Linked DNA regions of Nothobranchius furzeri. The protein of the gene in region 2 interacts with the protein of the main gene of each other region in a pairwise test. Links are inferred from orthologs where the notes say so. Each region holds a gene or a part of one and is shown on either strand. Other genes may lie near its edges.

Region 1 (4,540 bases), on a different chromosome or scaffold from region 2:
TGTTCAAGAGTGGCTTGACACACGGAATGCGACACCTGAATCCCATGTCTTTCATGAGTCTCCTCGTGGTGGTTCTTGAAGCGCTGACTCCAGCTGCAGTCCACTCTTTGTGGATCTCCCCCACATTTTTGAATGGGTTTGTCGTCACAATTCTCTGCAGGGTGCGGTTATCCCTAGAGCTTGTACACTTTTTTCTACCACATTTTTTCCGTCCCTTCGCCTGTCTGTTAATGTGCTTGGACACAGAGCTCTGCGAACAGCCAGCTTCTTTAGCAATCACCTTTTGTGTCTTGCCCTCCTTGTGCAAGGTGTCAATGATTGTCTTTTGGACAGCTGTTAAGTCAGAAGTCTTCCCCATGATTGTGGTGCCTTCAAAACAAGACTGAGGGACCTTTTAAAGGCCTTTGCAGGTGTTTTGAGTGAAACAGCTGATTAGAGTGGCAGCAGGTGTCTTCTATATTCAGCCTTTTCAGAATATTCCAATTTTTTGAGATACCAAATTTGGAGTTTTCATTAGTTGTCACTTATGAATATCAAATTTAAATGTAATGAACATTGGAAATACATTGGTCTGTGTGCATTGCATGAATATAATGTACAAGTTTCACGTTTTGAATGGAATTACTGAAATATTTTCAACCTTTTGATGATATTCTAATTTACTGGCCAGCACCTGTATATAGGGTGGATAACATGGAATTTCTCATTGAATGGAACTTCTTTGGTCGCTTTAAAAGTCTTTTAATTGTCTTTTCTTATATAAAAGTTATTAATACTTACTATTTAATTGCTTTCCTATGTTTGTAGAAATGTAATGTGCACTTCTACAGGACTGATGAGCAATGTCTAAAACCTTTAATGTTCTAAGCAGTTTTGAGATTGGTAGCAGTACACTTTGGGTTTGTCTGCACTTGGACTAGCCACTAGCTCATAGGTCCTGAAGAATGAAACTATAGGAGTGTCCAAATTCAGGGGTAGCATTATTGCACGCTCTGCGGTGCTAAGCAGATGTGTAATGCTACTGGTTCATAATTACATGCTGCATTTGATATTTCCTTTTCTAGATTCCTGGGACACCCCCCACCCCCCCACCCCAAGACGCTTTACAACACCATCAGTCATTCACCCATTCTCCCCTGGTGATGATGAGCTACATTGTAGCCACAGCTGCCCTGGGGCACACTGACAGAGGCCGTACACAGGCACCACCGGTCCCTCCGACCACCACCAGCAGGCACAGCGGGTTTAGTGTCTTGCCCAAGGACACAACGGCAGTGACCTGCAACCTACCGATTACGGGGCGAGCACTTAACTCCTGTGCCACCATTGCCCCACATGAAGCTCTACAGGACACGGAGCAGGCTTGAAAAAAAAGATGTTTTACCTACTTTACATCACAGTACAGGATAAGACAATCACTTTCACGGATTAAAAAAAAATCATACAAATCCTGAAAGGGCAAAACATCTATGTCAGCTTGCACTTGCAATATAGAACTGACTATAAGCTTCATGAACAGATATTATTCTGGAGAGGTTGTTTGTATAGAAGTTGTTCCTTGTAGGTAGGAGAGTTTTCCTGCCTTAAATATTTGCTAAATTTATTGTGACAATTCACATGGGAGCATGCTACCTAAAAATATAATAACGGACCTCCGTGCAACTCCAATTCATGACAACTGTCACTTTTCTATTAACCTGTCACATTTGACCTTTTTGTGTTCCTTAATCTTTAGGAAATAAAAAAGACCTACATTACACATAGATAGTAGTAATTGCATAGTAAAAAGTTTTTCTAAATCAATGAAAATCCAAGATATCATTTAAATGTGACTGTTTCCATTAGCTCATCATTCAGTAACTACAGGATGTTTCAGTTTTGGCTTTCTGTCTGTAATTTTCTCTTAATTGTTTTTGTTATAAATGAGTTGAAGCTGCGTTTTTAATATAGTTCTAATTATTTTCCTTTGTTTAGACTAGGATACTCATTAAACAATGAGACCCATAGCAATGGCAGCATATGGTGCCTGAAATAAAATCCTTTCTTGCCACAAAAGGAGATGTTCATATTAGATTTTTTCCTCTCTTCCCCTACGATTCTCCATCAGGGAGCCCTTTGCAATTTAATCATCACTAAAATCATTAAAAATATCTGAAGATTAAATTATATTGGCATTTGCAAAATTATGTAATACATTTACATTACAATGAAGAAATTAAAATAATGCATTTTAGCTGTCTGGGGTGTATGAAATCTCCACATGGGAAATATAACTGGAGAAGTGGACAGACTCTTATTTTCTTTGCCTTTGGTGGCAGTTAATAGGCTAGCAGTCTCAGATTTCATTGTGTGAACCTTTCTCCACTTCCTTTGATGGATGTCTCCGAAAATCTCAGTGGTGTTTCTCAATTGTGAAATGAAAATAAATTTTTGAGTCGAGGGTTTGTAAAATTGAATGAGATTTGACATACTCTCTGAATTGTACTTAAAACAATTTGTTAGAAGGTTGGGAAGTATTTAGTTACATTATTACAGCAAAGGGGCCATTTGGATTTTAACCCTAATTTGGAGGCGCTGAATAGTAGTGGGAATGATTTTAAGGATTTGTGTGGATTCCAGGGCTGACGGATGGGGAGGTAGAGTTGGCCATCCAGCGCTCTGGCAGCACTGAGGAAGTCCTGCCTTTGAGTCCCATGGGACACCCACTACCACCATATGCAGTTCCTGCACCACCCAGTAAGTACTCAGGCCTTTTTCTGCTCTTTTGCACCCATGAACCTAAATAATAATTACATTTTTGTGCATTTTATCATTCCAGTAACAACTTTGAAGTGATAAATTAGAAGCTTCAGCACATATATGAATTTGAAAATGTTTAATTGTAAATTTAGAAACAAAGAACATCATCTGAGCTCATGAAGCCTTGGGCTACTCTGTCTCAGGGGGTTCCACCTTAGCAAGACCCCACACCCCAACCTGTATCTTTATTACCTCAGGAGGTTGTGAATTCTGTCCACTGATTTACCAATGCAGAATGAAGTCCGCGTAATGCTTAACCCATATGACAATGATTCCAGATGTATTCCACCCTCATTTATTACCACACTGTCCTTGACTCCCTGGCATCTCATGTTTTGTAATGAAAGTGATGTTGATGGGATGGCCATGTAGTTAGGGAGACTCGCAGCTCTCCGTCCATTGTAGGGGGTTTTATATCAAAATGGCTATAAGGGAGCTGCATAATGAGGTGAGAGCGGGAAGTCTTGTATGGGGGGTCATGCTGAAAAGAGGGGGCTACCTGCTTATGATGTCCTTCTAACGGGGATGGTGCACAGAGACCCGCATCCATCTCTGTCGCAGTAATGGATACTCTGATCTCTATTTCCACATGGTAGAAGGACAGGAAGGCCTCCACTGAACCCAATAAATTTGAGAGGAGATTGGAAAAACGGGGGATGGAGTCCACAGTTTCACAGCTTAAGTGACCAAATAAAAAAAAAAGGAAGATGGCAGTGCTGAAGTGGTATAGAAAAGGGAAAGACAGTGCAAGAATGAGATGCCCTAAAGGAGGGGGGGAAAGAGCAAGTGAAGAGCCTCTAGTGATGCAGTCAGGCTTGTTCAGGGTCAAACACCCAACCCAAGGACTCTAAGGCCCTTCAGATGCCTGCTGTTCTGGGATAGGTGACAGTCTATCCCGGCTCTAATGTTGATGAAGACCCAAATTTATGTGGTTATCATATGGATGTTGAAGAATGATTCAAAAATTTTCGATGGGAAAGGTTACAGGTTCATGAGTGCGGCAGCAGTAGTGAAACTTGCCCTTCAGCAGGGAAAATAAAATGACACTCACCTTGAAAATATTCTATATATATATATATATATATATATATATATATAGTCTTGCATGAGTGGTCTCCTGTTTTATTTGCATATAAAATCACAAGTGCTAAGGCAAAAGATCAATGTAGTTTACCTACTTTAGGCAATAAACATGTTCAGCGAACCCATTAGGTGGAATCAGACCTGCAATAGAATATCAACAGTGTGCTTTAGAGGGGGACGCTTTGCAAAATTTGTATTTATTTTGGCTACATCAGAGTAAATAAAAAAACTCACTCATACTTCTCTAGATATGTTGGCTGTTTAGTGACATTTTCAGTTGAATGCCTCTCCTGAGTGGGGAATTTCCACCTTGACAGACAGTTGGCCTACCCAGATGACAGCTTGCACAATGACACACTTTCACATTATCCGTCACTCAGCACGACAGCCAACTTCTAAATGCACATATACACTCTTTCTACTTTTCTGTTTGCCTTAGGAGCTTTTTAACAAATAATATATGTATATTTTTAAGGAAGAAGCAGTTTTCCCCACTTACTTGTAATTATGTTTAACATTTCATAGTCGTTCAGCAAAAGGCAGTGGTTTTTTGTCTGATGGTTCCACATTTTAGTTTTTCTTTTATCATTTTGTATCCAGTACTTTTAAAAAATATTTGCCCTTACGTTTAATTTTTGTTGTTGTTCACATTAAACGG
Region 2 (5,210 bases):
CTAATGATGGAAAATAAGAATAAACATTGCTGAAGATGGGATCCTATTGTATGTAAAGATAACTATAATTATTAAACCGCTTCAGCATTGACATCAAGAATCATTGTTAGCGTTTTATAATTTTTTTTTCTTAAAGAGCAAGTCAACCCCCTACCAGAGTCTAACTCCACTCCCACTTCATGTTTGACAAATGCAACAAATGCTGTTGCCTAGCAGACCGAGAGGGCGGAGCTGCTAACAAATACAGACACACACAGGCTCACGACAGCATTGTGACATCATAATGTACCAGTTTGCATCATAGCATACCTCTTAGCCAATAGTGGTGGCAGATTTAAATTAGAATACAGTGCAGTTGTATCTGTCAATGGCACAACACTGCCAGTTTTAGGCAGAATATTTAAATTTTAACTAAGATGCACTGAAGTGCCAAATTATTGACGACACGTGTCTGCAGCACGATTAGATACTCGTTTATTTGGTTTATCAGCAAAAAAATGTTTATTGGGGGGTGACTTGCTCTTTAATGAGATCACAGAAATGTAATGTTTTCCAACAAACAGAAATAATTTAACTGAATATCCTTTTTCTACATAAACCTCCGTTTTTTACTGGTTCTCCTTTTTAGATCAGATGTTTAAACTTCCAGGTAAAGTTAAATTGGATGTCTGATCTTTCAGTTAATTTTTTAAAAAGATCATAGTAAATTAGTTTTCATCTTTTCACAAATGAAAATGTTCCTCTGAATCCAGCTTTCAAGTAGGTTTTGATTCTTTTGCAACAGCATGAAAAACAGGTTTTTGTTGGGTTTATTATTATTTTTAATCAAGAAGGTTTTTAGGTGCAGAAAATTATAAAGAGTGAAATCCTAACGTGACAGTACACACGTATGAGCTGTGAATCCTATGGATTTTTGTTATCAGAATTTGTTTTGGTTAAAAGATTCTGATGTTAAAACTGCACTCATGCTGTACTGCTATCCTTTTCCTGTAAGATATTATTGTAAAAACATCACTAAATTATCTGTTCTTCCTCATGCAGATGTGGAGTTGTGCCAAATAAAACATTTTAAAGATTATGTCAAGAAATAAATGTGGGGTGACATTGAGAAGAGTGATTTTTGTATTGATTTTTTTGTTTTTGTTAGTTGCTTATTTACTGTAATATATTTTACAAATATTCTACAAAGTTCGCTGTTTAATCTGATGGGAGTTTTCCATGTAAACAAAAGTGCTGTTGCTATTTGCATTTTTTTACACACACACACACACACACACACACACACACACACACACACACACACACACACACACACACACACACACACACACACACACACACACACACAGATATTAAATTTTATTATATTTACCTTTAACCTGCTGCTGAGAGATAGTTTCACATTTCTGTTATTGTGTGTAGCGTCCTCTGCTGGCCACTTACAGATTGTTACGTTAACGCTGATCGAAAGAGAAAATGATTTACAAATTGTAATCCTCTGGAATAATCTCTGTTTAGTCCAATAATGTTTTGAATTTAAAAGGCAAATTAAACAAATGTGTGCATTTTTCCTGCGAAATAAATTACCACATCAGAGGTTTAGCCTTTAGCCTCGGCTATTACCATTAAAACCACAAGGGGGCAGAAAAGCATCAATGATTCATACTTGGGTTAAAGAAGGTAAGAATTTAGCACCAACGAAGAAGAAGGCCACAGTAGAGACAACTTGGGGACGAGGGCAAATATTGCTATATTTCTACCCTTGCGGGCTAATATTTAGCAATGGATTCTCAACCTCCACCTAAACCGTGGCAAGGGCACATTCCAAGAGTTATGAGTGCGCCAGTAAATTACAGGTAAATAATAATGTTACTTGCTCGCTCTCGCGTGTTTACCTGTCACAGCTGGCTCGTAAGTTAGCCAAATGCTAACGCTAATGATCAAGGGCCACTATAAACAACATGTTCAATCAAAACCAATGTCCTTTTTGTTCGGAGCTCGAATAACGACTTAGTTGTGTTTCAGCAGCTCATAAGTTGTTTACGACAACCGTTTAATCAAAATGTAGTTAGCTAGAGCTTCGTTACAGCGTTTTGTTGCTTTGCCTTTAATAAACGTTAAAGCCACTCACAGCATTTACTGTTTTTTACATTAGTGTACATGTCCTCTAACTTTAGATTTTTGCCCGTCTTTTGTGGTTTTAAATGCCTTTTATCAACACGCCTGCTCTGATCCACTGATTTTACACGCTTAACTGGCATTAGCCCAAAGCAGAGCACTTAAAAAGAGAAAACGCTGGCAGCGAAGGGTTTTTCTGATCAGGAAACGGCTGGCAGTGAATGAGTGAAATTATTTTAGCTTCTTTTCAACAACTCTGGTCATGCATGTTTTAGTTCTTCCTGAAAACGCACAGGAAACAGCTGTTCTGTATCTTAGCTTGTTTTTCTCACCAAATAGGTCTACCGGCTTTGGGCCCGCTGCAGGAGTCGCCTCCACTTCTGTGGGTCCTCCTGTCCTGACCAGGATGGCTCCTCCAGTGCCCCCCCGGCCTGTCCAGCAGTCCTATCGTCCATCCTACAACTCCTTCATGCCTTCGCACAGTCCGTATGGGAGTTCCTTCTATGGCGGCTACAGCCCCTACTCTTACGGTAGTGGATTCAACTCAGTGGGCTACAGACACTTCCCCCCCCGAGAGGACGTTGTCCCCAGCCGGTTTGTGCAGCAGGCCGAGGAGAGCAGCCGTGGTGCCTTCCAGTCCATTGAGAGCATCGTCCAGGCCTTCTCTTCGGTCAGCATGATGCTCGACGCCACCTTCTCAGCGGTGTACAACAGTTTTCGAGCGGTGCTGGATGTCGCTAACCATCTAACGAGGCTGCGTGCTGACCTCACTAGAGTTCTGTCAGCTTTTGCTTTTGTCCGAACATTGCGTTACCTGTACAGATGGTTGCAGCGACTTCTGAGGAGGGGGCGGCCAGACGCAGATGCTGAGGACTTGTGGGCTGACAGCACTAGTGATGTTCTTGCTACGAGTTCATCTAGAGGTAACGGAGCAGGCGCTGAGGATCAGCGTGTGAAGTCCTGGCCGGTCTTCCTGTTCTTTGCTGTAGTCCTCGGCGGCCCCTACCTCATCTGGAAACTTCTCAGCTCCAGTGCTGCCAGTGAAGAAAACAGTAAGGCTTGTGTTTCATGTTCTTCTGTCTCCAAACCTGCTTCTGTGTTTATTCCAACTCATTATTTGATGTTTAAAGCTGTTTTCTGACACAAGACTTCTCAGTAAATAGACTAGTAAAGACTCAGTGGTGACAGACGGGCGAGAATCAGTTCAACTTGGACTCCACAGCTTGTACAACAACACTAACCGTTGTCTTTACCTGCTTTCAGTGAAATTGTTCTGTTTGTTTAGCTACTGACTGGGCCAGCGGGGAGGACGATCACGTTGTGGCCCAAGCTGAGTTTGGGTTTTCAGCAGCTTCTGAGGAGGAGCTTTCTCTGCAGGCTGGAGATATGCTTAACCTCGCCCCTAAAGGTAGAAGCTTTGAACATAACCTGTCTTCGAGTTTAAACTGGTTTAAAAAAGCGGCATTTGTAGTTCAAAATATGTGAAAAGTATTACCTTCGTGTGGTTTTTATCCCTTTCTGTGTCGTCCACTCAGGTTACTTTTAAAATGAGATTTCATATTTTGAATGTTGTATGATATTTTTGTTGATGAAGATGTTTAATTGAACAATTATGATTTCAGTTTTCACTTTAGGAGAGTTTCTAATCTGTTTTAAGCTCTGACACAGAAACAGAATCCGCCTTTGTTTTGTTTTTTATCTCCAAAGCTATAATCTGAAAGCTTCAACACATCGTCTCAGACAAGCCTGTTTTCATAGACATCCTGCGACAGTGTGACGTTCACTGTCCAGAACATTTTCTCAACTTCTTCGAGACTAAAACTTGTTTCCCCTCCTCGTGTTTAGAGCAACAACCCCGGGTGCGTGGCTGGTTGCTCGCCAGCGTTGACGGTCAGACCACAGGTCTCGTTCCTGCCAACTACGTGAAAGTCCTTGGCAAGAGGAGAGGGCGCAGGCATGCCGAGATGGAGAGGCTTGCTCAGGTTCAGCCAGGAATGGCGCCGGCTTCTGCAACGGCCTCGACTCCGCAGTCGCACTCGCCTGCAGCTCAAGATTTTAACCGAGATCTTTCCACGGCGTCTGCAGAGCAGCTTGAGTCGGCGTATGGAGCAGCGCCAGCCTCTTTCAGTTCCAGCATGTCCTCCGACACATTGATAAACATCCCGGAGAAGGATGACCTGTGACGATCGAGTCTGAACGAGAAAAATGTTATTCAAACACTGTTTTAGTTCGTCTGAGATTAGCTTTTCATTTAATCTGTCTGAGCTTTAGGCGTCTGTGTTTGTTGAGTGAAGCGAAAGGACTTTGATTCATTCAGAGATGTCTAATTTTTCCCAATTTTATCGGTTAATCAATCACTCAATGTAAATATTTAACTTGATTAGTTTAGGAAAAGGAAATATATTTTCAAAATTAAGCATTGTCTATTTGTTATATTTTCACTACAACAGTAACTAAATCTTACAAACTCAATCATGACAGGAGATTTAAAACACACAGAAATGTGGTTTCTGTACAGGTACGTTTTTTAATAATTTATTAGATATTATTTATTACATTAGAAGTCTTAATTACATTAGAAGTCTTAAGTTCTTTATGGAAAAAAAAAGTCCTAGATTATAAGCAAACAGATGTTTTATCATCATTTGTAATTGAAAAGTCTGATTTATTTACTCTGATTTATCAGTTTCTTTTTTTTATGCAGTGTTAATGTAGGGACATTTTATATAATTCATAAGGGAAAGGATAGATTTTTTTAAATCTGCAAAGTATAAACTGTTTTAAATTTTAAAAATAAATTATTTTAAAGCACAGGTATGCCTTCTGGTATCCACCATAATAACCTTTGGGCCAAATAAAGCACTATTGTGGCTGTTAAGGAAATTTCATAAGCTGCAACAAAACGACACCAGCTTTTAATAGAAACTGCTTTTACGCAGTCTGATGTGTCACAAATATCACTTGGTAATATCAGCTAGTTTTGAAGTTCATGTTTAGAGTAATCATCAACTTTTATTTATAAAGCACTTTTTTACTGCCCAACTGCTGATGAATGTGCTGAAAACAGCCTAGAATGAACCACATCACAAAAG

What was found.
Region 1: the proteins of pex13 (region 2) and pex14 interact in a two-hybrid assay, tested with the Homo sapiens proteins (2 studies listed by BioGRID and IntAct, with this or other methods). The link is inferred for Nothobranchius furzeri from reciprocal best matches to the Homo sapiens genes PEX13 and PEX14.

The regions. Positions count from the first base shown.
Region 1 is NC_091755.1:29,686,619-29,691,158, reverse strand, and holds part of pex14 (peroxisomal membrane protein PEX14), read left to right. Parts: intron 1-2,619; coding exon 2,620-2,736; intron 2,737-4,540. UniProt on the Homo sapiens protein: Component of the PEX13-PEX14 docking complex, a translocon channel that specifically mediates the import of peroxisomal cargo proteins bound to PEX5 receptor.
Region 2 is NC_091752.1:7,648,464-7,653,673, forward strand, and holds pex13 (peroxisome biogenesis factor 13), read left to right. Parts: upstream 1-1,679; 5' UTR 1,680-1,782; coding exon 1,783-1,856; intron 1,857-2,457; coding exon 2,458-3,170; intron 3,171-3,403; coding exon 3,404-3,526; intron 3,527-3,963; coding exon 3,964-4,301; 3' UTR 4,302-4,534; downstream 4,535-5,210. UniProt on the Homo sapiens protein: Component of the PEX13-PEX14 docking complex, a translocon channel that specifically mediates the import of peroxisomal cargo proteins bound to PEX5 receptor.